5 linked regions of the Bombyx mori genome follow. The protein of the gene in region 2 purifies or fractionates together with the protein of the main gene of each other region. This does not show direct contact. Links are inferred from orthologs where the notes say so. Each region holds a gene or a part of one and is shown on either strand. Other genes may lie near its edges. The genes, in order: inhibitor of growth protein 1, paired amphipathic helix protein Sin3a, UDP-N-acetylglucosamine--peptide N-acetylglucosaminyltransferase 110 kDa subunit, breast cancer metastasis-suppressor 1-like protein and metastasis-associated protein MTA3.

Region 1 (4,635 bases), on a different chromosome or scaffold from region 2:
GAGAAACTCAGTGGGCTGTGTCTGAGAGTTAATTTACTCGTCGAGCCCTTCGTCGCAAGCGACGGGTTCGACGAGAACGGTGACCGGTGCTTGAAGTACCTAAAAGCACCGTTAGTGGATCAGGAGGATCCGAGATGACGTGTTTAGGGCGACGTCGACTGCTTTCCATTCTGTCCGCAGGATCGGGAATGTAGTTACCGGCGGCCACGATGAGAGGGTTCTCGTGTCGTGCCGCTTTATCGAAGTGGCGCATGGACGCCGACTGCAGATACTTACTGATGGACTCTAAGTCCAGGTCGTCATGGAGGACGACGTTCCTGACGAACCACGGGGCTCCGACGGCTATCCTGCAAAAACGGGATTGAATAATTTGAAAGGATTTTAAGTGTATGCGAGCCGCGTGAGCGAACACTACACTTGCATAGGTCATGACGGGGCGTATGCAAGTTTTGTAGAGTGTCACCTTATTTCTAAGGGACATTTTACTTCGCCTACATATCATCGGGTAGAGACGTCCTAGGATGAAGGCGGCACGATCGCGTACCGTCTTGATGTGGGGGCGGAATGTCATCCTACTGTCGAGGGTGACGCCTAAATATTTGACCTTCGGGGCCCACGGTATGGGCTGGTCGTACATCGTGATTGGGCGAACGGCGGGGGCGGGGGTGTTGACGCGCCTAGTCGGGAGAGGGATGCTCAGCGTGGTGTTCGGAGGGCGACCCCTTTTGAAGAGCACCGCTGTGCTTTTCGTGGGGTTAATGTCGATGCGCCACTTCCGGAACCACTGTCCCATGGTGGTAGCTGCGGTCTGAAGTCGTCGATGAAGCAACGCCTTCTTCCTACACGAGTAGTAGATGGCGGTGTCATCGGCGAAGAGCGCCAGATGGGTCTCCGGAGACCGGGGTATATCGTTGATATACAAACTGAATAGTAACGGGGAGAGGGCGGAGCCTTGCGGGACTCCGGCTGTGACGTGACGGGGCCGGGAACGCGTTCCCTCGACTCGATATCGGAACGAACGGTTCGACAAGTAGTCTCGTATGATGAGCACGAGTCTGTCTGGCACTCCCATGTTATACAGTTTGTATATCAAACCGTTGTGCCAGACTTTGTCGAACGCCTTCGCTATATCGAAGAAGAGGGCTCCTGTCGGAATGGGGGTTTTTATTTACTTGATTATGAAATTACTAATTATATTATAAGAATAATAAGTTCTATATATTTTCTAAGTTCGTAAATAATTTATTATGTGAGGCCGGAAGTGTTGCTCGATAACAATTGTTCTACTCCTGTGCAGTTTCAGAGTTGCTAAACGGTTAATAAGAAAACTAAATTAACAAATTAAAACAATTATTCACAAAACTTCACGACTCATGTTCCGAATTATTTGAAAAAATAGGAATAAAAATTCTGAAAATAAGTTTTATATAAATGGAACTTTTATTTTTAGCCTATTTCTGTGTGATGATCGTTTTTTTTTTGTAATTTCATTATTCAGTAAAACTTCTTCATTATTAAAACAATAGAAACTCTATGAATTTAACTTAAATCAAGTGTGTCAAAAAGAAAATAAATTTAATTACCTTTTTACAAATAATAAGTAAACTTATTACAAGTAATAAAAAAATTAAAATGATTCTTTTAAATATTTAACTAAAATCAAAATTTCATTTTTATTTTCAAGAATCTATTTAGATTTTATTGGGTTGTGATGTATGCATTGGGAGTATGTTTCTGAACAGCTTGTGTCACTGCCTGGAACAATCAACAAACATTTGAAACATTTCCGAACGCAAACGATGCTTGACGGGACTGTTCAGTTGTTAAATATAGTGAACTTGTTTTGCTTATTCGCTTTCGAAGTGTTTTTAGTGTAATTTATCTGATTACTATTATGAAAGGTCAATTTAGACTATAGCAATGTTAAACCAAACTTCGACTGAAGCTTTGCTTTCAGCCGCTTATGTTGAAAACTACTTAGATTGCGTAGAAAACCTTCCAAATGATCTTCAGAGACATTTATCACGTATGCGGGAGCTTGACGTAACATATAGGGGTAAATCACACATTTGTTACTATATTTCTTCAAATCAATAACTAATAAACCCTTTTCAATTCTGAATTTATATGTTTGAAATGTAAATTTGTTTCGAAACAGCTTTGTTGACGTTTTCTTTCAACCTAATTACGTATGCATTCCTTTGTATATTTTATGTTCTTAGCACCGAAATAGCCCAGGTTTTAGTTTTTAAATTACATTTCTATCAATAATTTTCAGTTTGTTTCACTTTTCGTGCATTTAGAGGTTATTGCAATTTGCCTTCATGCCCCTAATTTGTTAAATACTTTTGCTCACTAATCGATTTTTTTACTAATTAACTAGACTGAAGTTTAAATTTAAAGAAACCCCTATTAATATAGAAGTTCAATTTGATCCAATTACTAATAATGATTTGTATTTTTTAATGATTTCTTTAATAAAATTATGTTTCTCAACATTCTATAGTCATCAACGTATATAATATGATATACAGTTCTACGGTCATTTGAAAATCAAGATAGAAGAAGGACACAAAGCTGTTCTGTAATTGAAATTTATTTTTTCAACAGAATGTTTGCGTGAGGCAGAAAAGCATCTAAATATTTGTATAGGATCAAGCACAGAGGAACGCCGTCGAACCAGAGCTGCACTACGCCTACAAACAGTTTTAGTTGCTGCACAAGAGATAGGAGATGAGAAACTACAAGTTGTACAAATATTACAAGATCTCATCGACAACAAACAAAGGTCACTTGATTCTGATCACAAAAAATTATGTAAGTCAAATTTTGCCTTATATAGAAATGTAATTATTTAATGTAAATCAATTTAATTACAATATGTTATTGGTCTACCAACAGTATCTTGTATAGAAGTAACAACAAATGGCACTACAAAAGAAGAGGTGACTCCAACTCAAGATGTACTCTCCAAGACAGAGAAGGAAGCCAGTGTGTTAACAACTCCTCATCAAAACATAGCACCACCGCCTCCTCCAGAAAGAACAAATGAGAAAGAAAAAGAAAAAGTTGAGAAGGAAAAAGGCAGTGGTAGATATCAAATGCTGAATAATTTATTAATAATCTCTTAATTATTACTAATTTTTAATTAAATTCAATATTGTATCTACTCAAATACCTTGAATTACAGAAATCTATAAGTTCATTAAACCAAAGACTCCCCTCCATATTTTCTTACTGAGATGGGTTAACAACCTCATGACTCCCTGGGGTTAACCAAGGTGGTATTACTAACTTGTTTAATCTCACAATACCCTTTGATTTTGCGGAAATTTGAAGGCAATCAAATTGTATACCTAACAAAAAATATAATCAGAAGACAGCTTTAAATAAAATATTTCTGTTGGCGATGCAGCAATAACCCATTCTATATATAGTATTCTTATATAGACTATAACTATTCTACATTTATTGCTGTAATAAATTGCATCTTCTTTGTATAAAGTATTTACATATTGCAGTTTTACTATAGTATCACAACATGAAACATTTTAGAAAAAATCTAAAATACAGCAGTTATGATAGATTTAGTCAATGGTAATCTATTTCACACTTTATTTCAGGTGAACGGTGGTCAAAAAGACCACGTAGATCAAGAACAACAGCAGGTGCAATGACAGATGGAGCAGATTCCAGTGAACGAGATAGTGAGAGGCACACACACAACACAACACATAAGAAAGGTAAACTGAGCAAACTAATAAATCTTACATTTTTTTAATATAAAAATACATAACATTTGCTTTGTTTGTGTTCCAGGTATAGGTAAAAAGAAAAAACGCAAAGTCCGACAAACGACGCAACGTTCGGAGACGCCACCGGAAGAGCCAGATGCCATCGACCCCGATGAGCCTCGCTACTGTCTCTGTGACCAAATCTCATTTGGCGAGATGATTCTCTGCGACAACGACTTATGTCCTATAGAGTGGTTCCACTTCTCGTGCGTTTCTCTCACAACTAAACCTAAAGGGAAATGGTTTTGTCCCAAGTGTCGCGGCGACAGACCGAATGTCATGAAGCCGAAGGGACAATTTCTTAAAGAATTAGAAAGATACAACAGAGAGAAAGAAGAAAAAGCATAGTCTTCAAAGAATCATTAATGTGGATTCAAAATAAGTGAATATTAATTTCATCAAGATTTTGTTTCTGTAGGTACCTATTTTAAGGTACTATACTGAATTATAATTAAAAACAAGAGTATGCTTTCCGGAGGATTATTTTATTTTCAAACCCCTTTTAAAATTAAAAACTTGTAAAGGTAATGTTTATTTACGTTATGATGCCCCACATGTTTTGAATCCATGATTGACAGACATTCGTCTAGAGCACTTGAAGTATTTAAATGTGATTTCACTTTTGTAAGAGATGATTAAAATTATTTTATACAAGTTGTGACAAATTGTTATTATGGCATATTCAGATTAAGAATGTGCCTATTAATGTGAATAACAACGGTTGTTCTTAATTTACGTAAAGCAGTTAATTAACCACAAGGAATAATATATAATAAATGACTGAAATACTAACATCGGATTTCATCTCACAATGTTAAATAGATGCCAATTATTTTTGTAA
Region 2 (4,127 bases):
AGTTATTGTTCTTGGATTCTTGCGAATTGTAGACATAATTGAATGTGCAATTTCGAAAAGGGCACATGTCGCATATTTTGTCAAATACGTTCATATACATGTAGCTTTGAGGCTAACCTACACCCATTTTATAATAATTTCCAGTAATTTTCAACTGCTAATTAACACTTAAATATATCTCAAAAGTTAATATTTTAAATTTTACACTGGTTTAGAAAATAATCAGTTTTTTTCATTTCCTGAACATTTTACATTTTCAGAAATGTGCCCTTTTCGAAATTGCATATTCAATTAAAGCTAGTTTCACGGCCTAATTTTCCTACGCTCGAACTCAGCACAATATTCAATTGTCAACAAACAACTACTTAGTCATCCATAGTTTTTATGATCATTTATGAATAATTTTTATTCAAACCCATAATGCTTCGCACAGGTTCCAAAGCATGTGACTACCCCGCCGGCTGTGGTACAGCATCCGCAGCATCATCACCTCAAGAGATCTCCGAGTATCTCATCGACAGGTCAACGTAAGTTTCTTATGTTTCACATTGTTTCAGGTTGAGTAACTTGATGATTAGTTTTTGTTTATTTGAAATTAGTAAATGTTTAACAATCAAGCAGGGATTTATGTTTATCAAAGAGCCATTTTTAATTGTTTGTTGCATGAAATGTCCATGAATTGAGAGACCTGGTGTTTTGAACTCTTAATCTCAATTCCTACAAACCAACACATATGCAACTTCAGAACATTAGGGCAGGATGGTGATATCTATCCTCACAACATAGCTATAAATGTTTTTTATTTATTTATTTATTTTTATTGCTTAGATCGTTTTTACTTAGATGGCTCACAGCCCACCTGGTATCAAATAGTTACTGGAGCCCATAGACATCTACAACGTAAAACCGCGCCACCCACCTTGAGATATGAGTTCTAAGATCTATGGTTCCAACGGCCCCATCCACGCTGGTACCTACCTGCGCGGACTCGTAACGGGTCCTATGACCAGTAAATCAAACCAAATCAATTTTTTTTTATTTAACATCAATGAAAGTACACACTTGTTGAACGTCAAAAAGAACTACTGCCAATTCACAAAAAATTAGCCTCTTGTCCTGAGAAGAGCTGGCAAGAAACTCAGCAGGCATGTCTTTTTTTTTTAATATTAGTTTTTTTTAAATATTCATTTTTACAATGAGTATTATAACGTAACAATTATAGCAATATTGAATGATATATGTCCCAAATAACATGTTAAACTTAAAGATGACGTTCCCCACAGCGTCGTCAGCCCCGCCGCCCGCCAAGAAGCCGCGCGCGTCGTGCTTGTCGGGCGCCACGGTGCGCGACGTGTCGTACTCGGAGGCGGCCAAGCTGGCCACCATCCACGACTACAGCTTCTTCGAGCGGGCCAGGAAGGCGTTGCGCTCGCAGCAAGTCTACGATAACTTTTTAAGGTAACTACATTTATATATTACTAGATGATGACCGAGCTTTGCTCGTTTTTTTTTTTTTTATAACGCCATCTTGTTGTGTCTTTAAAGCGGTTAGTTGCCCTCAATTAAGAAAAATAGTATTATTATTCGTCAATAGATGTCAGGAAGAGTCATAAAGTTGTTTATTGAAAACACGAATAAAACAACATTTTCTGAAAATAAATCGTAGCTAGATCGATTTATCGCCCCCGAAATCAAATCAAATCAAATCAAATCAAAAAATTTTTATTCAACATAAATGAAAGTACATACTTGTTGAACGTCAAAAGAACTACCGCCAATTCACAAGAACTAGCCTCCGTCCTGAGAAGAACTGGCAAGAAACTCAGCGGGCATGTTTTTTTTTTTTTTTTTTTTTAATTAGCAATTATTATTTATTAATTTTTTAATATTACATAATTTTTTTTAAATCCCCTGTATACTAAATTTTATGAAAATCGTTGGAGCCGTTTCCGAGATTCAGATTATACATATATATATAAGAATTGCTCGTTTAAAGGTATAAGATAAGATATATGTAAGTAGGGGTAAGACCTCTTGTGAGTCCGCACGAGTAGGTACCACTACCCTGCCTATTTCTGCCGTGAATCAGTAATGCGTATCGGTTTGAAGGGTAGGGCAGCCGTTCTAACTACATTGAGACCTTAGAATCTCAAGGTGGATTGCGGCTTTTACGTTGTAGATGTGTACGGACTCCGGTAACCACCTAACACCGGGTGGGCTTTACCCACCCATCTATGCAATAAATAAATAAAAAATCTATTTTATCTAGCTGTTGCTGTTGATGTGGTGATCATTTCTCAGGCACTTTAGAGTACAAAAATAATTGTATAAACGAAATTTGGAATGAATGAAAACTCTCATTAATAAAATAACTTACTCAAAATTAATACTTTTTCTATCATCTTCCCAAAGTATTCAATTACCACGTATTGATAGATTTAAAAAATATAAATAAAAGGGTTATCTACTAAATGTAATCATTTGCATTAATTATATTATAATTTAATTTAGTTTTTTATATTAAAAATAAATCTTCGATTGATTGAAAAATAAAACATTTAAAAAGAAAACAAAATTTTGTTAGACCCACCAGTAGAAATCACTTATTGAAAGCTGACAAGTTGAAATAAATAAATTTAAATTTAAAAATCCACACCAATGTCTTATCTATATGTGTTAATCTAACATAAAACATAACATACAACTCGTATGTAAACCGGTCACCGTCCTCGTCGATCCCGTCGCTAGCGACGAGTCAATTAACCCTCAGACACAGCCCACTGAGTTTCTCGTCGGACCTTGTCAGAGGGTCGCGTTTCCGATCCCGTGGTAGATTCTGCGAAGCACTGCTCTTGCTAGGGCCAGTGCTAGCAACAATCCGGTTTGAGCCCCGTGAGCTCACCTACTAGTTAAGGTTACGCTGAAAGAGCCTCTCAAGGCTATCTTAGGTAGGAAAAGAAAAAAATCGTATTTAAAAAATTTGCGTTAATGTATTATTTCACCATAGATGCCTGCTCCTGTTCACGAACGAAATAATATCATCGTCGGAGTTATTGTCAGTGACGAGTCCGTTCCTGTGCCGCCACCCGGAGCTGCAGCGCTGGCTGCACGACTTCGTGGGCCCGCCCTCGCCGCCGCACACCCCCACCCACACCCCTAATACGGGTAACTATCTATCTATAATATCTGTACTGGTGGTGTAATCTTTGTACTGGTGGTAGGACCTCTTGTGAGTCCGCGCGGGTGGGTACCACCACCCTGACTATTTCAGCCGTGAAGCAGTAATGCGTTTCGGTTTGAAGGGTGGGGCAGCCATTGTAACTATACTGAGACCTTATAACTTATATCTCAGGATGGGTGGCGCATTTATGTTGTAGATGTCTATGGGTTTTAGTTATCACTTAACACCAGGTGGGCTGTGAGCTCGTCCACCCATCTAAGCAATAAAAAAATTATAAAATAAAACTATATATCGAGGGGTGAAAGGCTTTTTATTATTTTATGCTTACTATTAAACTTTTTGTCGAGCATAAAATCATTGTTTTCGATAAAAATTTGTCACGCTGTTTACACAGGCTACCCTTGGACCAACCCTATACCGGTGGAGCCCCGCCCTCGGTACGAGAGTGTCGGCGCCCTCGGGGCACAGATGCGAAATGATCGCCCCCAAGGAGACATGGCAATGGATATTGGTATGTGTATTGTGATTTACAATTATCAAGTATCTGTTGACTGAATAGAATAGTTTCACTAAACTGTATTGCATCTTTTATTTAATTCATTATATGGTCTACACAAACTCGCTGTTCACATGATAAGTTGTTACTGAAATTGAATAAGTGAAAAAATCGTTTGCAAGAATATTGGTATATAGATGGCCTTCCTTCAAATATCTTTCATATAGCTATCTTTTCTACAAAGAAATCAAACACTGCCAGTGAAACAAAAGTATATGTGTTTGTGGAGTTTTGGAAGAAAGGAAAGGGAAGTCGTTTGATGTGGAAGGCGGAAGACCGCATTATGTGGAAGGCATTGGGGAAGGCCTATGTCCAGCAGTGGGCCGATAAAGGCTGATGATGATGATGATGATGAACTGTAAATAAAATTGAAATTTTTTTCTTTATTTT
Region 3 (4,729 bases), on a different chromosome or scaffold from region 2:
CTGCCGGGTCAGATAGTAAGAAATAAAATTAATATCAGCATGTGCCCGCCCACATGGAAAACAAATAATACTGATTAGAATCATCCCTTAAAAACTTTTACATACTCACAGGGTTATACTGCAGTGCGGTAACGTAAGCCTGCACAGCTTGCTCCATATCGCCGGCGGCAACGAGAGCCGCAGCCAAGTTGATGTATCCATCGATGAAGTCCGGCTTCAAACGGACAGCGTGACGATAGTTCTCCAGCGCCTCCTGAAGCTGCCCGCGTTCTTTGTAAACATTGCCCAAGTTGCTGCACGAAAAATTAAAGACAAATTATGATCATTACAAACAGGCTAGTGATCCTCGTGTATGCACCATAGGATCCTGTTTCGATTAATTATCGGAGTCAGTGTGATTATTAAATATGTTAGGTATTGGAATACTAGATATACCACAACCCGAAATGATGATCACGACCTCTCTACTAAGAGTGCAAATGATTGAGAAAATAATACCCTGAGACTATTGAATATTAAATTTAAGTTATACAGTTCAACATTATTCAGCATGTGTTGTAGTTTGAATTGATTATGAGCCGGGTGTCTGATTTTATAAACAATTCTGTTTTAAAATATATGAATGTTCTTGAATGTACTTATGACAAAAACTTGTTAGTTAAAAAGCATGATGAGGTAGCTTAAAAAAAAAGAAGACACCATTTTAACCCAAATACATTGTTCATTTAAAAATCTCCTAATTTTCAGTAGTTTTAAAACAATAGACAATTTTAATTTATAATAACATTGACACAGAAGATCTAGAAATTATTACTAGGTAGTAGGTACTAGGTACCTTACAGTATTACAAAATGTTTTAGATTTTTCATTTGTGAATTAGTGAATTATTTTCTCAGCCTTATACGTCTTGATTATGAAAACAGGAGATTAAACCGTACCAGTAGTTTTAATAATTATTGTAAAAATTGAAACATGTTTCCACATAGAAAATGAGTTATTTTTGTTAATCAACTAATTAGATTTATTGCAGTGAATGTTAATGATTTAAGCAATTAATTAATCAAGGTCATACACCACATTTGTCCTAAATAAGTAGTTGCTCCAAATTTTTAATGTGCTGTTTGTGCCAAATTTACTTTATTTTGACAAAAAAGTATTCAAAATACTAAATATTTTTAGCGAAAACTGTCCGTAAACTTTCTTATAACAAAAAATGTATGTATTGTATGTATCCTTAATAAGCAATACATAATTTTTGTATTAACCAAATGAAATAAACTACATCATGCGCACATCGCTGGATTTAACTTATTTTATTGTATAAATCTTTATTGTATAAACGATTTTTATTATTAGCACTTTCATTTAGTCCATTTTTATTATTAATAAAATGTTAAGGTAAAAGTGAAGTGAAATGAAGCAAATTAGAAATTCAATATTTCCAACTTGTATTTAATTTAAACTTTCTATACATTACAATATCATATATGTTATAGTTAAAGTATGATCTAAATAACTTTCACAGCCAGACAGAGACACGTGTCTTGTCTCTCAAAGCTGTCATTACAATACACTGCAAACAGTTATTTTTATAAACTATTTTATAAATTATAGGAATGGTCACAAATCACTTGGACTTGTTCCAAATTGATTCTCGAAATACAGAACAACTGATTATACAGTAATAAAGGTTTCATTTTTTTAAGAATTCAAGACAAACCTTTAAATTATAGGAGAAATACATAAAAGTATATAGTGCTCTTCCTCACCTGTAGGCTTCAGCCAACAAAGGATTCTGTTTGATCGCCAATGTGGAAAAATGAGCAGACTTGTCCAGTCTCCGACACTGGAAATGTATAGACGAGAGTAGGAGTAGCACCCCTGTGTTTGTACTGTCCTGGCGCCATAACTGCATACAGTGATGTTCTGCACTTTCATAATCACCAGCTTGATATTCTCGATGTGCTAATTCAAGTAAGCCTAAGGCAAAATTAAAAGTAAATAAATACCCAGTATAAGAGATCTTATTATCAATTGTTTGTGGGTTTGGCAAGTAACTATTTCCCATCAATGTAGAAGAAGTGATTTAGTGTTTTATTTGTTTCTATAATTCAGTGGCTTCATTACCTCTCTGAAAGCATTTAGGCTAAAATAATAGTTTTACATTACATATATTGAACAGGACAATACAGTTATTGTAGGAAGTAATTGAAACCTACATTGATGAAAGGAAAGCAAACAGCTATTCAATTTATATAGAGATTTAGAAAATACAATCCAAAAAGTTTATTTTTATCTAAATTTTGGAGTCTTACTCTACCTATCTACTGCTCAAAATATACTAAGATTTCAATAAACTAATCTCAATGAGGGCAACAAAGCCTTTTAATGAAACAAAGAGGCAGAGGTAAATTCATGTAACTAAACATGTCAAATCATCCCAGATACTTCATTAGACAAAGGATTCTTCTACAAGTTTATAATAGGCAGCAATTTAATCACCAAAAAAGCAATGAGAACCTAAAATATTTCTGGTCATTTTAGTCATTGATGAATAGCGCGTCGGGCTTTTTTCAAAGGATTTCACTTAAATCTTAGAAACATAAATTAATATTATAAATACGTGAGTAATCCGAATCAGTAAATGAATGCATCGCTATTTTAAACAAGACGTGTACAAAAAATTCCAAGAGACATTACTCTAACATGACATACCATACTATGTAGGCACCAATTTGCAAATTTTGCAAATTTCCAGACAAAATGTAATACTTAATATTAACTAATTCAATATTAAACCTTTCCAGAGACTTACCCACAGTAGATATTTGTTGTAAGTCCGACATTTTCAATATCACAGCATTTGCAGGCACACCGACGATTTGCTGAGCTTGGGGTTGCGTCGTGACAGACTGTGGCACTGCTACATTTGCTTGCGGTTGCATTTTTGTTATCATCGTTCAATTTGAAGACTGATCACAGGCACACATATAAATCACTAAACATTTGTAAGTAATAAATAGTTACTGATTTTAATCTCCATGTATAATCTAGCTAAATTTACTTCATAAGTGCAAACTGCAAATCCCAACGACGCGACGGATAGCGGAAACATCCTATAACTTTTTAATTGTCGAATTGTCAATATGATGTCAATAATGGAACAAACATACTACTATAGTCTTTATGGCATTGAGATACGAATAAAATTGGATAAATGATTTAAGCGGATGCTCAGTTTCTTCAGATTTTTTTAGTACGGCAATCGTCGTAGTGCATGTTTTTTTCAATGGCAAAAATAATAGTAATGCCACGCCAAGTCCTTGTTATAGACACTCATACAAAGTGATGTCAACTTTAAAAAAATCCCATTTACTTCAAAAAATGTAAACTAGAAGCTGACATTAATGGCATGCAAGATTCTTATCTAACTGTTTACTTAAATTGCTTCAATATTTTCTGATCCTCAATTAAATAATGTGTATGGAGCAAAACTATCGTAGTTAAATATTGAAACCGGCATGTTAGAAACCAAAAAATCATTATTTTAGACTTATTTTTTATCAATGTATTTGAATTAGACTTACCATACTATTTAAACCTCGGTGTTTTTTAACGGTAAATGCATCATTCAGAACTTTTCAGAGACAAATTATCACGATTATGAACAATTAATGCCAGCGATTAGTTATACAACATGAATTGTCTACCTACTGCCAGTGGATAAATAATTCTTCTAACCTCTATAATTCAGTACTGTTGTTCACAATTATTCATGGTAGTAAAATTCTCAAATTGCAATTTTTTAAGTTATACTTCTTTAGGCGCGTTATGAAAAATTGATGAGAGTGAAATTTTATTATGCGCGCGCACCGTGACACAATATTAACAGAAATGAAGTTGCCCGCTAAATCGCTCATTACAATACGACCGACGTAACTTGGCGAGTCTGAATATAGCCGCAGGTGAACTTTAGCGCATGTACACTCGTAAAAAAAGTGTTATTAGCATTCATTTTTTAGTAATATAAATGACAAAAGTATTATTATCATACTAAATATTATTAAATTATTAACGTTAAATATTTATTATTAATTATTCATCTTTAAAAAAAAATTAATAAAAATAAAGTATAGCTTCTTACGCGCGTACATAAGTACACGCACCCTTTTCTTTTTAGTGCATTATCATCTTTATTACACCGTCTTTTCCCTATATCATTAAGACTATTAACTGGGGTATGTTAGATTAGGTACTTTTACAAAACTAAATTAGCTAAATTAAACAAAAAATAGTTTTCTAGTAATAGTAATAGCAGTAATAATAATAGTTAATTTGATTTCTTTTATTGCCTATATGGGTGAACAAGTTTACGGCCCACCTAGTATTCAGCAGTTACTTGAACTTATAGACATAAAAAACGTAAAAGCCGCCATGCACCTTTATATGCGAGTTGTAGTCTGAGTTCTATACAACAACCACTGTCCTACTTTTCAAAATAGAACTTATTGAGACCTCGAGGTAAAAATAATTAAATAATTAATTTATTCTATCGTCTACCAGTGACTGTCATAGACACCTTAATCACATTACTTAAATCTTTTATCCTCAATCTATGGAGGCTAGAGGTAAGGAGAATCATCTTATATGGGAGAAGCTTGAAAAAGTGTCCCACTTTCAGTACTAGATAACAGTTCAAAAATGCTCCAAAATGGCGCTAGCATAGGCA
Region 4 (4,634 bases), on a different chromosome or scaffold from region 2:
TCACGGCTCTAACCTGACGTTTGATAATATTCGCCGTAGCAAGAGCAGTGCTTCATAGAATTTACAACCGGATCGGAAACCCGACCAAATGAGAAGATCCGGTGAGAAACTCAGTGGACTGTGTCTGAGGGCTAGACAACACTCCGCCTATTTAACGCAATGACTTCGTGAGATTCTTTTTTTAATAGAGTTTCATTGCGCATTTAGAAACACTACGTTTGGTATTAACGATGTTCTATTGGGTCGCGTGGTAGATTCTGCGAAGCACGGCTCTTGCTAGGGTTCGTGTTAGCAACGTCGTCAGGTTTGAGCCCCGTGAGCTCACCTACTAGTTAAGGTTCCGCTGATATAGCCTCTCAAGGTTATCAGCTTAGGAAGGAAAAAAAAAGTTATCATGTCAATCACCAACATTATCTTTATGGACATAAACACCACTGCATTTTATATCTTTAAACGCATAAACAATCTGATCGCTCTCCGTTATAAGTGGTCATATAAATATAAATCTAATTTAAGGCACTAGAAATAACGAAAGTGTTGTATCTGATGGTCTATAATAGTCACCTTTAAATAGTCTGTTTAAAGTGGAGTCCTTTGAGACGAGCCGAGGCACATAAATTGTTTAGTTTAGTTAATTTTTAACTCTTCAGGATTCAACTATTAAACGTTGATTACTCATACTGGCTTACTAATTATTTAGGATATAACAAAGTGCCTAAATAATTAGTGGCAGTGGGCTGGCCATATATGCCGTAGGACTGACGATCGCTTGAGCAGACGGGTTCTCGAGTGGAGACCGCGCAGCGGAAGACGTAACGTGGGACGCCCCCTAGCTAGATGGTGCGATGACCTCCGCACGGTGGCCGGCAAGAAGTGGATGAGGAGAGCCGTAGACCGGGCTCAGTAGTGTAGATTGGGAGAGGCCTATGTCCAGCAGTGGACGACTGTGGGCTGTTGATGATGATCAGATGATGATGAAAGTGCCTAAAAATCTCCAGATGTGGCTTTTAAGGCTATTTCAGATAAATCAGATGCTTTAATTCCGCCCCATTTCACTTTTCAAATAACATGGCTTCGACCTTTAACAGCAAAATAAAAGATGACACTCATGGTATGATATCTTTGCCTGTCATGTATTGAACAATCTGAAAGTAGGTACTGTAAATATACATTTTGACGGTTTTGTTGTAGGAACGCGAGAAATGTAATTGTGTGAATTAATTTAGCGTCTTCAGGTTTAAACGATTACAAGGGTTTATTAACCGTTTAGCATCTGTGGAAGTGCATAATTGTAGGACAATGAAACAAAGTCGCTGGACGTGGTTTCTTGGGTTCTTCCCAATAGTCCACTGAAGTCTTAACCAGTAGCTTTTTTTTGTTTGTTTTTTTATTGCTTTTGTAGGCAGACGAGCGTATGGCCCACCTGATGGTAAGTGGTTACCGTCGCCCATGGACTTCAGCAATGCCAGGAGCAGAGCCAAGCCGCGCGCTGCCTACTGCTAAAAACGCTAGCTTCCATTTTACGTTTCATTGCATTCGAACCCAATCGATGATTCCGATAAATCATTTTATACTATTATATATTATTATATAAACATACAACATATTATTATATTATTTTCCAAATTATAAAATACACACATACAATTATACAAGATTGTATGTTATGGTATGATACTTTCGCCTTTCCTGTTGAAAAAATAAACCATTATTATTTTGACTTTTGACATTATCTTATCTATGACATTGACGTTAACTTCACTTTCACAAATTTATTTTGACGTAGGTATTCAAATTTTGCAATTTACTAATTGGAGCGAAAACACAATTCATTACAAAATTAAAATTAATTCTACTTCATAATTAAAAATATATTTCCGTAATGCCGTCAATGAAAGTGGAAGGCGATAGTGATGGAGATGGAGAAATGTCTGGGGGTGATACCGAAAGATCTGGGGGCTCTTCCCGTGGCCCAGACCGGGACTCTAGCGCTGAGGAAGCTGACGAGCCTGACTCCGACGATTCTTCGGAAATGGACGAAGGCGAGTGTGAGAGACGCAGAAACGAATGTCTCGATAACTTAGGTTCGTAGATAAGTTACTTTTGAGGTTATGTTTACAAAACAATGTCGAATTGTTTTCGAAACATATGGGCTCTAATCGCTGTTTCAGTAGAGTTATCGTATATATTTTTAACTAATAATACATTAGATTATTATAACATTTATAAATAATGTACTAAATTGAATTTCCTAGATTAAATTTCTAGAATTTCATTGCTAAAGTACTCTTAATGGACACGTTTGTATTTCGATAATAATATTGAACGAAAAAGACAATTTAAATTCGCTATTTGATAAAAAGTAAAAGTACAAATAATGCAATAATTAAAACTAGCTTTACAGTTGAACAACCAAATTCTTCTGACTATATAACAATTTTATGTTGAGCAATTATATTTTTAGGTGCTATTAAGTTTCGTAAATAAATTAAAACTCCCAAAGCCTCCTTGTCAGAAACATAAGTGTGAAATATTATTGTTGATTCTAACAAACTTTACCGAAATTATTCACAGCAAAACTTGAGAGACAGTTCACTGTGCTTCGAGAACAATTGTACGTAGAGAGAGTGAAGCAAGTTGAATATCAACTGGCCGAAGTGAGGGGTGGTCGCTCCCAGGAATATCTCGGTCCACTTCGAAGACTGCAGGAGAATATGAGAATCAGGTGCTGAAATTAAATAAAATTCATTGAAAACTTAGATACATTTGACAGTGGATCTTTTGAGATAATTTAATTCATAAAAAACGATAAAGTAGACAAATAATCATACCATCACCCCCACAAATATTACTTTCTTGGCTAACTAACTACAACATAAATAAAAACAATACTATAAACAATGATATTGTTAATTTTCTTGTGGTGTCTTCTTTCTTAGATTCTGTATTGCCTGAGATCTGTATCTTCTCTGAGATACTCATATGGAGTTCTGTGAAGAAGCTCAGACCCTACCTGTTGTTTAGTGATTTTCATTCCAAAAAGTCCACTACTAACTTTTTTAGTACTAAAATCAATTCTGAAACCGGCAGTAAAGTCACTTTGACTTCACTTGACTGTCTAAAGCAATAAAGTGATTAAATTGACAATGCTTCTAGAACAATAAATTCCATGGGAATAACTATAACTATAATTTGTTTATAATATTACAAAAAATGATAACATTTTAACAAATAATAGAAGTTTTTCAGTTTTTTAAGTGGTACTGAGTCAACTTGAGAACCACCAAAACAGCCATTTTACAACTTGTAATTTTATTGAAACAAAAGAAAATGTATCTAAAAATAAAACATTATTTGGAAACGTCCATCTCACAAAATGAGTTTGAATTCTATTGCAATAGAATATATGCTTCATGTTGAAACAGCAGAATTATGCAGGACCATTATACTTACCTATCTATCCTAATCCTAATCTGAGTATTTTGGTAGAGTGAATATAAACTAGGAATGATCTAGGCTGGAAAAAGACGGAAGAGCTTACTGCTAGATACTGACTAATTAGAATCAGGCTGTTATTTGAAGTTTAAATTCTTTGTGTGTTTATTTATTTTTGAATGCACAGTTAGCTGATGAAGTGGATCACAGCCCACCTGCTGTAAGTTGTTACTGAGGACCATAGACATCACAATGTGTGACAAAGCTGCTACATGTCCCTAAATATAAAGAGCTCATGTTAGATATGTGTTGCAAGTCTCACTCCTGCCATTCCAGCACCTTCAGGAAGTACATTATTACAGGTGCAAAACAGTTACTAGAATATGAGGCACTGGCTCTATGACAGTCTGTTACTTTTACGAAGTTAAGATGTGATTTAAAAAATAGACAATGATTTTGAAGCATTTTAGGCACTGGAGTTTTTGCCCTGACCCTTTAAGAGTTCCTTGGTAGTACAGTGAGGTAGTAAAAGCTTTATGAAGCCAAGATTCCATACCAGAACCCTATACATGATAGTTATAGTAAATAATTTAAATGAGTCGTCTATTATCAAAGGCGGCAATCTGTGCATTTGGACAACAAAATTTTATTGATATGTCAATACAGATTGATTTGAATATAATCGTCTCCTTCAAAGAATACGGTTCAAAACCTGCATTAAATAAAGGTTAATAGTTAACCTGTTATTTATCTAAGATGTCGTTCCGAAGAGTTTTGTGACTGCCGATGGAATACAAAGTCAATAATTTGTTTTTCTGATTTACCAATCATTGTCCAAAAGTCAGATTGCCGCCTTTGATAATAGTCGACTCAAATGTATGAATGAATTGGGTGTATATGATATATGATCTAATTCAGTAACGGTTATCTCCAGAATCGAAGTAGCCGGCATACTCAAGCAAATGAGGATCGAGAACATAAAACACAAGTTTGAGGCTGAAGAACAAGCAGCACACCAACATTTCAAGGTAAGTAATTGTTATACCCTCTCAGGAGTAATATCTGTGTTCAATAAAAACAAAACGTTGTTTCCCAAAGCAAAACCAACATTTTAAATATTCAATTCAACATTACAATCATGGTGAATAACAGCAAAAGAAAAACATTCTTCTGTTTGCGTTTGTGCATAGAATTTTAAT
Region 5 (4,821 bases), on a different chromosome or scaffold from region 2:
ACTTGACTGAAGCATGACTTTAAACAAATATATTAAACTTTAAATTGAACACTACTCTAACTCAAAATTTTGAAATTTTCATTTTTCACACAAATCGCTTCTCTATTTTAAAAGTATTGATGTTATTGATGGGGTTCTACGGAAGATTAAATCAGCTAGTTACACAAGAAAAAAACATAATATATCTGCAATTATAAAGATTTTATCAACTTTTTTCATTTAAATGCTCCTCCTGTAAAGCTACAAATTTGGAGTTAGCGTAGTGTTCATTGGAGGAAAGAAACTTTATTTAATAATATTTATTTAATGGTTAATCATGTTAATTTGATACTTCTCTCAGTCTGCAGGAAGCTTTTGTTCTAATTTTTTCTGTGACTACATATTATATTTTAGATAGAGATATAAACAAAGAAAATAACATCTTAAGCATATTGCTTACCTAATTCATGAATCTGTACCATTTTACCAAATGTTATTAGTCCAACGAGTGCATTTTGAGGCATTAAACTAAGTGAAGTCTGCAAGGAATCTTTGAGTGCCCCAAGTTCTTCCTCATCTAAACAAGTATCAACAACAAGCAGGTAGATTGGGGGCATAGCCTGTGCTCGCGTTATTGTGTACTCTATGGTGGAAAAGTTAGGAATCAGTTCTGCAGGTTGATGCTGTTCTGATATAGCAGCATATTGAGGTGGAAACTGAAATTAAAATATATTGATTACTCTATAAGTACTTTAAAAGAAAAAAACATTAGACTAATTGAGTTAGTGGCGAATTTCTTCAAGTACTCACTGGGTTTCGTTGGAAGCAAAAGTTGCAGACCCATAATTTAGCTCTGTAATCCACCTGGCACATTGGGTTCAATATAGCTCTGCATGTATTTCGTGTACAGAGTACAGGCTCGTACTGTATCGGTGGTAGGTCGGGGCGCTCCTTAAGCGGTTGGTACAAGCAAGCCAAAGGCACAACAAGCCTCGTAGCCTCAATTCTACTTGATGGCCATACGTTCCAAGTGAACCGTATGCCATCGCGGTCTTCATTCTGCTGGATGAACTCCTCGTATGTGGCCATATCGCCGATCTATACGAAAAAGATACATTACAAAAACATCATAAATGCACACAGACTCTGGTAACTTTAGAAGCACTATTAACCAAATGTACGTACCAAAAAGTCATGCGGCGAACCAGTTATAAACACATGAGCAAATTTCTTAAATCACAATATGTCTTCATTCAAAAATCCCATAAATTTCTCAATTTTTTAGAAACCAAGCAGACTGGAGAGGCTGGCTGATTTGGCAGTTGTCAACACCATAGACAAATCAGCTGTCATACTGGCCACGTCACATTTTTACACGCCATCCATCACAACATATAAAAATAATTTAAAATTTTACTATCAAACGAACCACAAATTAATAAATCTTTAAATATATAAATAACATTTTTAAATAAAAATACTTTTAAGGGAGAAAAAAAATAAAAATTTTTGGTTTTCTTTATGGTTCTCTGACGTTCCTTTCCACATTCCAAATTCGAATTAAAATTAATTTTAGATATAAAACACAATTTATTATATTCAGTCTTCAATATACAAATAAATATTATGTTAAAATTTATTTAATTAAAGAAACTTTCTTACTTCTTGTTGAAAAAAAAATTACAGTAAATATTTAATATAATTAAAATCTTGTCAACACTGTTCCCGTTAAAAGAACGAAACGTGGTTGAATGAATTATTTTTTTTATTTTAGGACATCGTAAAATAAATTTTCAATGGACGATATTATTTTCAAACAATACTTTTTATAATTCAAAATAATAATCATTTGGATTTTATTTGTGGACACAAAATTAATGACATGTCATTGCTTTGTTTCAAAAGCAGGAAGTTTACGCCAAAAAGTGCGACTGCGCACTGGCCAAATTAGTAGTGTGAAAGAAAATGGCGATCAGCGAAAGGCGTCCGGAGTTAACGTGATGAAAAACATTGTTAAAAGCTCAATTACATAGTGTTATAGTTATTAATTGTGTCAGATGTAGATTAATTAAGTGTTAATGAATAGTGATTGTGTATAAAAATGGCTGCGAATATGTACAGAGTCGGCGGTGAGTAGCAATAATTGGTTATTTTTGTTGTAGCTTCGCCGGTTCACCGCCAGCCGACTAGCGGTGCTTTGCTTTGATTGTCGTACTTTCATTAATTGCTTATATTAATTAATCCAAACATATTAAACACCCAAAAAATGCCGGTTTTTATGTATCCGTGGAGGTTATCGTGTTTATAACCGTTTGATAAAGTTTGCGGAAAAGTTATATTTTACCAAAATTCGTCAAATCAAATAGGACATTAGCATTTACGTCTAGGTATCATTGTATCGGCTCGTGTATCTGCGTGCGGGCGGTTAGGCATGAAGCGTCTTTAGTTACCTAACTGAGATGATAGTTTTTTAGAATAGTTTGATGATTTTGACGTGAGATTTTAGGTTATATTCGATGTTGTCAAAACATTTTGATACGAGAGCTGGTTGTTTTTGGGTTATTTGGTATATCTTGGAAGAGTTTAGGGATGATAAGAAAGTAAACAGTAAAAGTGTGGCGTCGCTAGTCATTATAAATTATTGGTTTGTTTGTGTATGGACGGTGGTAGTCGAGGATGTCGGTTGCTGTAGGATATTGATGCCGCGAGTCGCGAGAACAACACGAGCGCCTCATGTACCGCACTCGGCGTCCGTCGCGTCGAATGTTAATTAGCCCTTCCTTTTGTATCACTTCCTATCATGTAATGTAATGCTTCTGTTAAGGTTATGTCTTTGTTTCAAAATTAGCTAATTCTTAGTAAAATAATTTTGTTAGAACCGAGATGGAATGTATTTTATTTAATAATTTCATTAAATGGGTAAATAAATATTACTCTGTGATCAACTATAAATTAGGGATTATTAAAGTTTTTAATTTTAAAATTAAATCTTGACCCGTAGTTTTACACTAACCTTAGGTCAATATAGTAAATCTTAAAATGAAATATTTTTTTCCCTCCAAAACATAAAATTAACAATTTCATTCTAATTACCTATACAACAATTATAAAATATGTTCTAAAGCCAATAAAATTTTACTTTGCTATTAAATCAAGTTAAATTGTCAGTTCAATGAATTAATGTTAATCTTTTGTTAATCTTTTAAACCTGAAAGAGCTATACACTATTTTTTATTACTCTAAAACTACTGCCAAACTGTTCTCATTATAAAAATAATAAAAACATTTTGAAAATGCTGTCAAACACAATTTTTTGCAATCAACACTAATAACATAAACAAACATGCATTTCTTTATTCTATCAAGGCCACCACAAATACTTCAGATGTACTGAAAGCAGTAGGTATGCTCCAATAAACAAAGTTTAATATTGCAAATGCAAAGGATTCAAAATTAAAAGGTATTTTATTAATCCAATGATTGATATAGACCATGATCACAGTGATTATTAAATCTATTCTGGCATAAAAGTTTAAAGGGTTTGTCAGCTGTCATTCAGTGACCCTGCAATTAATGAATTAAAACATTTCAGGGTATCTAGGAAAAGAATTATAACAATACATTGCATTCTTTCAGTTTAAATTAATAGTATTGTGTTAGCGTAGTGTTATTTTAAGTATATTTGTTTGTAATAGAATATTTTGATCTACAACAAAACGTCTCTGCTCTACTCTAGTTTGTTATTGTATCTATTTATAAATTTCTACATATTGCAATTTTAATGCAAACATGCAGATATCTAATATACATCTGCATAATACACAATATAAATTTAATTTAGGTGCTGAGTAAAGAAAATACACTAAAAACACACTGACGCAGTACAATAAGAAACCATAATAATATGATATACACATACAGATATAAATAAATTCAAAATCACTAGGATGATTATTAAAATTTCAATAATGAAAATGGAAAATAGTAGTTTTTTTCAAGTGTTTTTTTATTCAATAAAAGTATAAAATTGTCTTTATCAGTGACCTTCAGCTTTTGAAAATTGATTGAGCTCAATGACCTATGCTTAGTTTTGTCCAACTAAAATACTATTTTTTGTTATATAAGCCAACATAGTATTTTTATGCATATATAAATTTCAAAATATTTAATTCCTTTTTTACGGGAATATTACGTATTTATATAAATTAACACTAAAAGTATTTCATAAAAAAGCATTAATAAAATAAGTTAATTATCCATTTTCAAAGTGCCCATAAATATATTTAATCATACATTATTCTTCTTCTATTTTTCCTGCTTATGTCGCTAATACCTACACTAATAATATCAGTGTTATACACCTATATAATGTAATAGAATTACTGAAGTTCATTTTAAACATAATAAAAATATAACAGTTATCAAGAAAGGAACTTAAATAAAATTAAAATGTGGTGTGTGTGAAAATATGTAATTTAAAACAAATGACCTTATACTATTACATTCCTTTCTTGTCGCGAGCTTGCCAAGTTTTACGAAAATATCTCTAGCAATTTCTTAAAGTACTATATTTTTTTATTGAGTTAATAAATAAGATAGATCACCTATCTTGGGATACAAGGCTTAATGTGAGACTCCCTTAAATAAGGAAATCCTTTCTAAATGCATTTTAAATATTTTATTTTGGTAGTATCACCACGCTTATGCCCTGTCGCCAATTATTTATCAAGCAACGTATTTAAAGACGACGGGGGATGAGATCAATTATTATATTACGTAACGCTGGTATTACTATGATTAAGAATAAAAATTGATCAGTAATGTCCATATAATATTACAATG

The links.
Region 1: the proteins of paired amphipathic helix protein Sin3a (region 2) and inhibitor of growth protein 1 purify together in Homo sapiens (affinity purification with mass spectrometry; 5 studies listed by BioGRID and IntAct, counting the BioPlex papers as one, with this or other methods). This does not show direct contact. The link is inferred for Bombyx mori from reciprocal best matches to the Homo sapiens genes SIN3A and ING2.
Region 3: the proteins of paired amphipathic helix protein Sin3a (region 2) and UDP-N-acetylglucosamine--peptide N-acetylglucosaminyltransferase 110 kDa subunit purify together in Homo sapiens (affinity purification with western blotting; 4 studies listed by BioGRID, with this or other methods). This does not show direct contact. The link is inferred for Bombyx mori from reciprocal best matches to the Homo sapiens genes SIN3A and OGT.
Region 4: the proteins of paired amphipathic helix protein Sin3a (region 2) and breast cancer metastasis-suppressor 1-like protein purify together in Homo sapiens (affinity purification with mass spectrometry; 3 studies listed by BioGRID, with this or other methods). This does not show direct contact. The link is inferred for Bombyx mori from reciprocal best matches to the Homo sapiens genes SIN3A and BRMS1L.
Region 5: the proteins of paired amphipathic helix protein Sin3a (region 2) and metastasis-associated protein MTA3 purify together in Homo sapiens (affinity purification with mass spectrometry; 3 studies listed by BioGRID, with this or other methods). This does not show direct contact. The link is inferred for Bombyx mori from reciprocal best matches to the Homo sapiens genes SIN3A and MTA1.

Annotation. Positions count from the first base shown.
Region 1 is NC_085113.1:6,460,853-6,465,487, forward strand, and holds the start of inhibitor of growth protein 1, read left to right. Parts: upstream 1-1,515; 5' UTR 1,516-1,920; coding exon 1,921-2,056; intron 2,057-2,610; coding exon 2,611-2,817; intron 2,818-2,901; coding exon 2,902-3,090; intron 3,091-3,623; coding exon 3,624-3,743; intron 3,744-3,819; coding exon 3,820-4,142; 3' UTR 4,143-4,635. UniProt on the Homo sapiens protein: Seems to be involved in p53/TP53 activation and p53/TP53-dependent apoptotic pathways, probably by enhancing acetylation of p53/TP53. Component of a mSin3A-like corepressor complex, which is probably involved in deacetylation of nucleosomal histones.
Region 2 is NC_085108.1:1,019,679-1,023,805, forward strand, and holds part of paired amphipathic helix protein Sin3a, read left to right. Parts: intron 1-433; coding exon 434-527; intron 528-1,283; coding exon 1,284-1,458; intron 1,459-3,007; coding exon 3,008-3,165; intron 3,166-3,575; coding exon 3,576-3,692; intron 3,693-4,127. UniProt on the Homo sapiens protein: Acts as a transcriptional repressor. Corepressor for REST. Interacts with MXI1 to repress MYC responsive genes and antagonize MYC oncogenic activities. Also interacts with MXD1-MAX heterodimers to repress transcription by tethering SIN3A to DNA.
Region 3 is NC_085129.1:5,336,270-5,340,998, forward strand, and holds the start of UDP-N-acetylglucosamine--peptide N-acetylglucosaminyltransferase 110 kDa subunit, read right to left. Parts: upstream 3,303-4,729; 5' UTR 2,958-3,302; coding exon 2,816-2,957; intron 1,981-2,815; coding exon 1,770-1,980; intron 294-1,769; coding exon 110-293; intron 1-109. UniProt on the Homo sapiens protein: Catalyzes the transfer of a single N-acetylglucosamine from UDP-GlcNAc to a serine or threonine residue in cytoplasmic and nuclear proteins resulting in their modification with a beta-linked N-acetylglucosamine (O-GlcNAc).
Region 4 is NC_085124.1:2,162,671-2,167,304, forward strand, and holds the start of breast cancer metastasis-suppressor 1-like protein, read left to right. Parts: upstream 1-1,427; 5' UTR 1,428-1,882; coding exon 1,883-2,084; intron 2,085-2,574; coding exon 2,575-2,725; intron 2,726-4,369; coding exon 4,370-4,463; intron 4,464-4,634. UniProt on the Homo sapiens protein: Involved in the histone deacetylase (HDAC1)-dependent transcriptional repression activity. When overexpressed in lung cancer cell line that lacks p53/TP53 expression, inhibits cell growth.
Region 5 is NC_085131.1:3,800,181-3,805,001, forward strand, and holds the start of metastasis-associated protein MTA3, read left to right. Parts: upstream 1-1,679; 5' UTR 1,680-2,080; coding exon 2,081-2,108; intron 2,109-4,821. Other genes in the region: protein transport protein Sec23A, read right to left, coding at 440-695, 790-1,068. UniProt on the Homo sapiens protein: Transcriptional coregulator which can act as both a transcriptional corepressor and coactivator. Acts as a component of the histone deacetylase NuRD complex which participates in the remodeling of chromatin.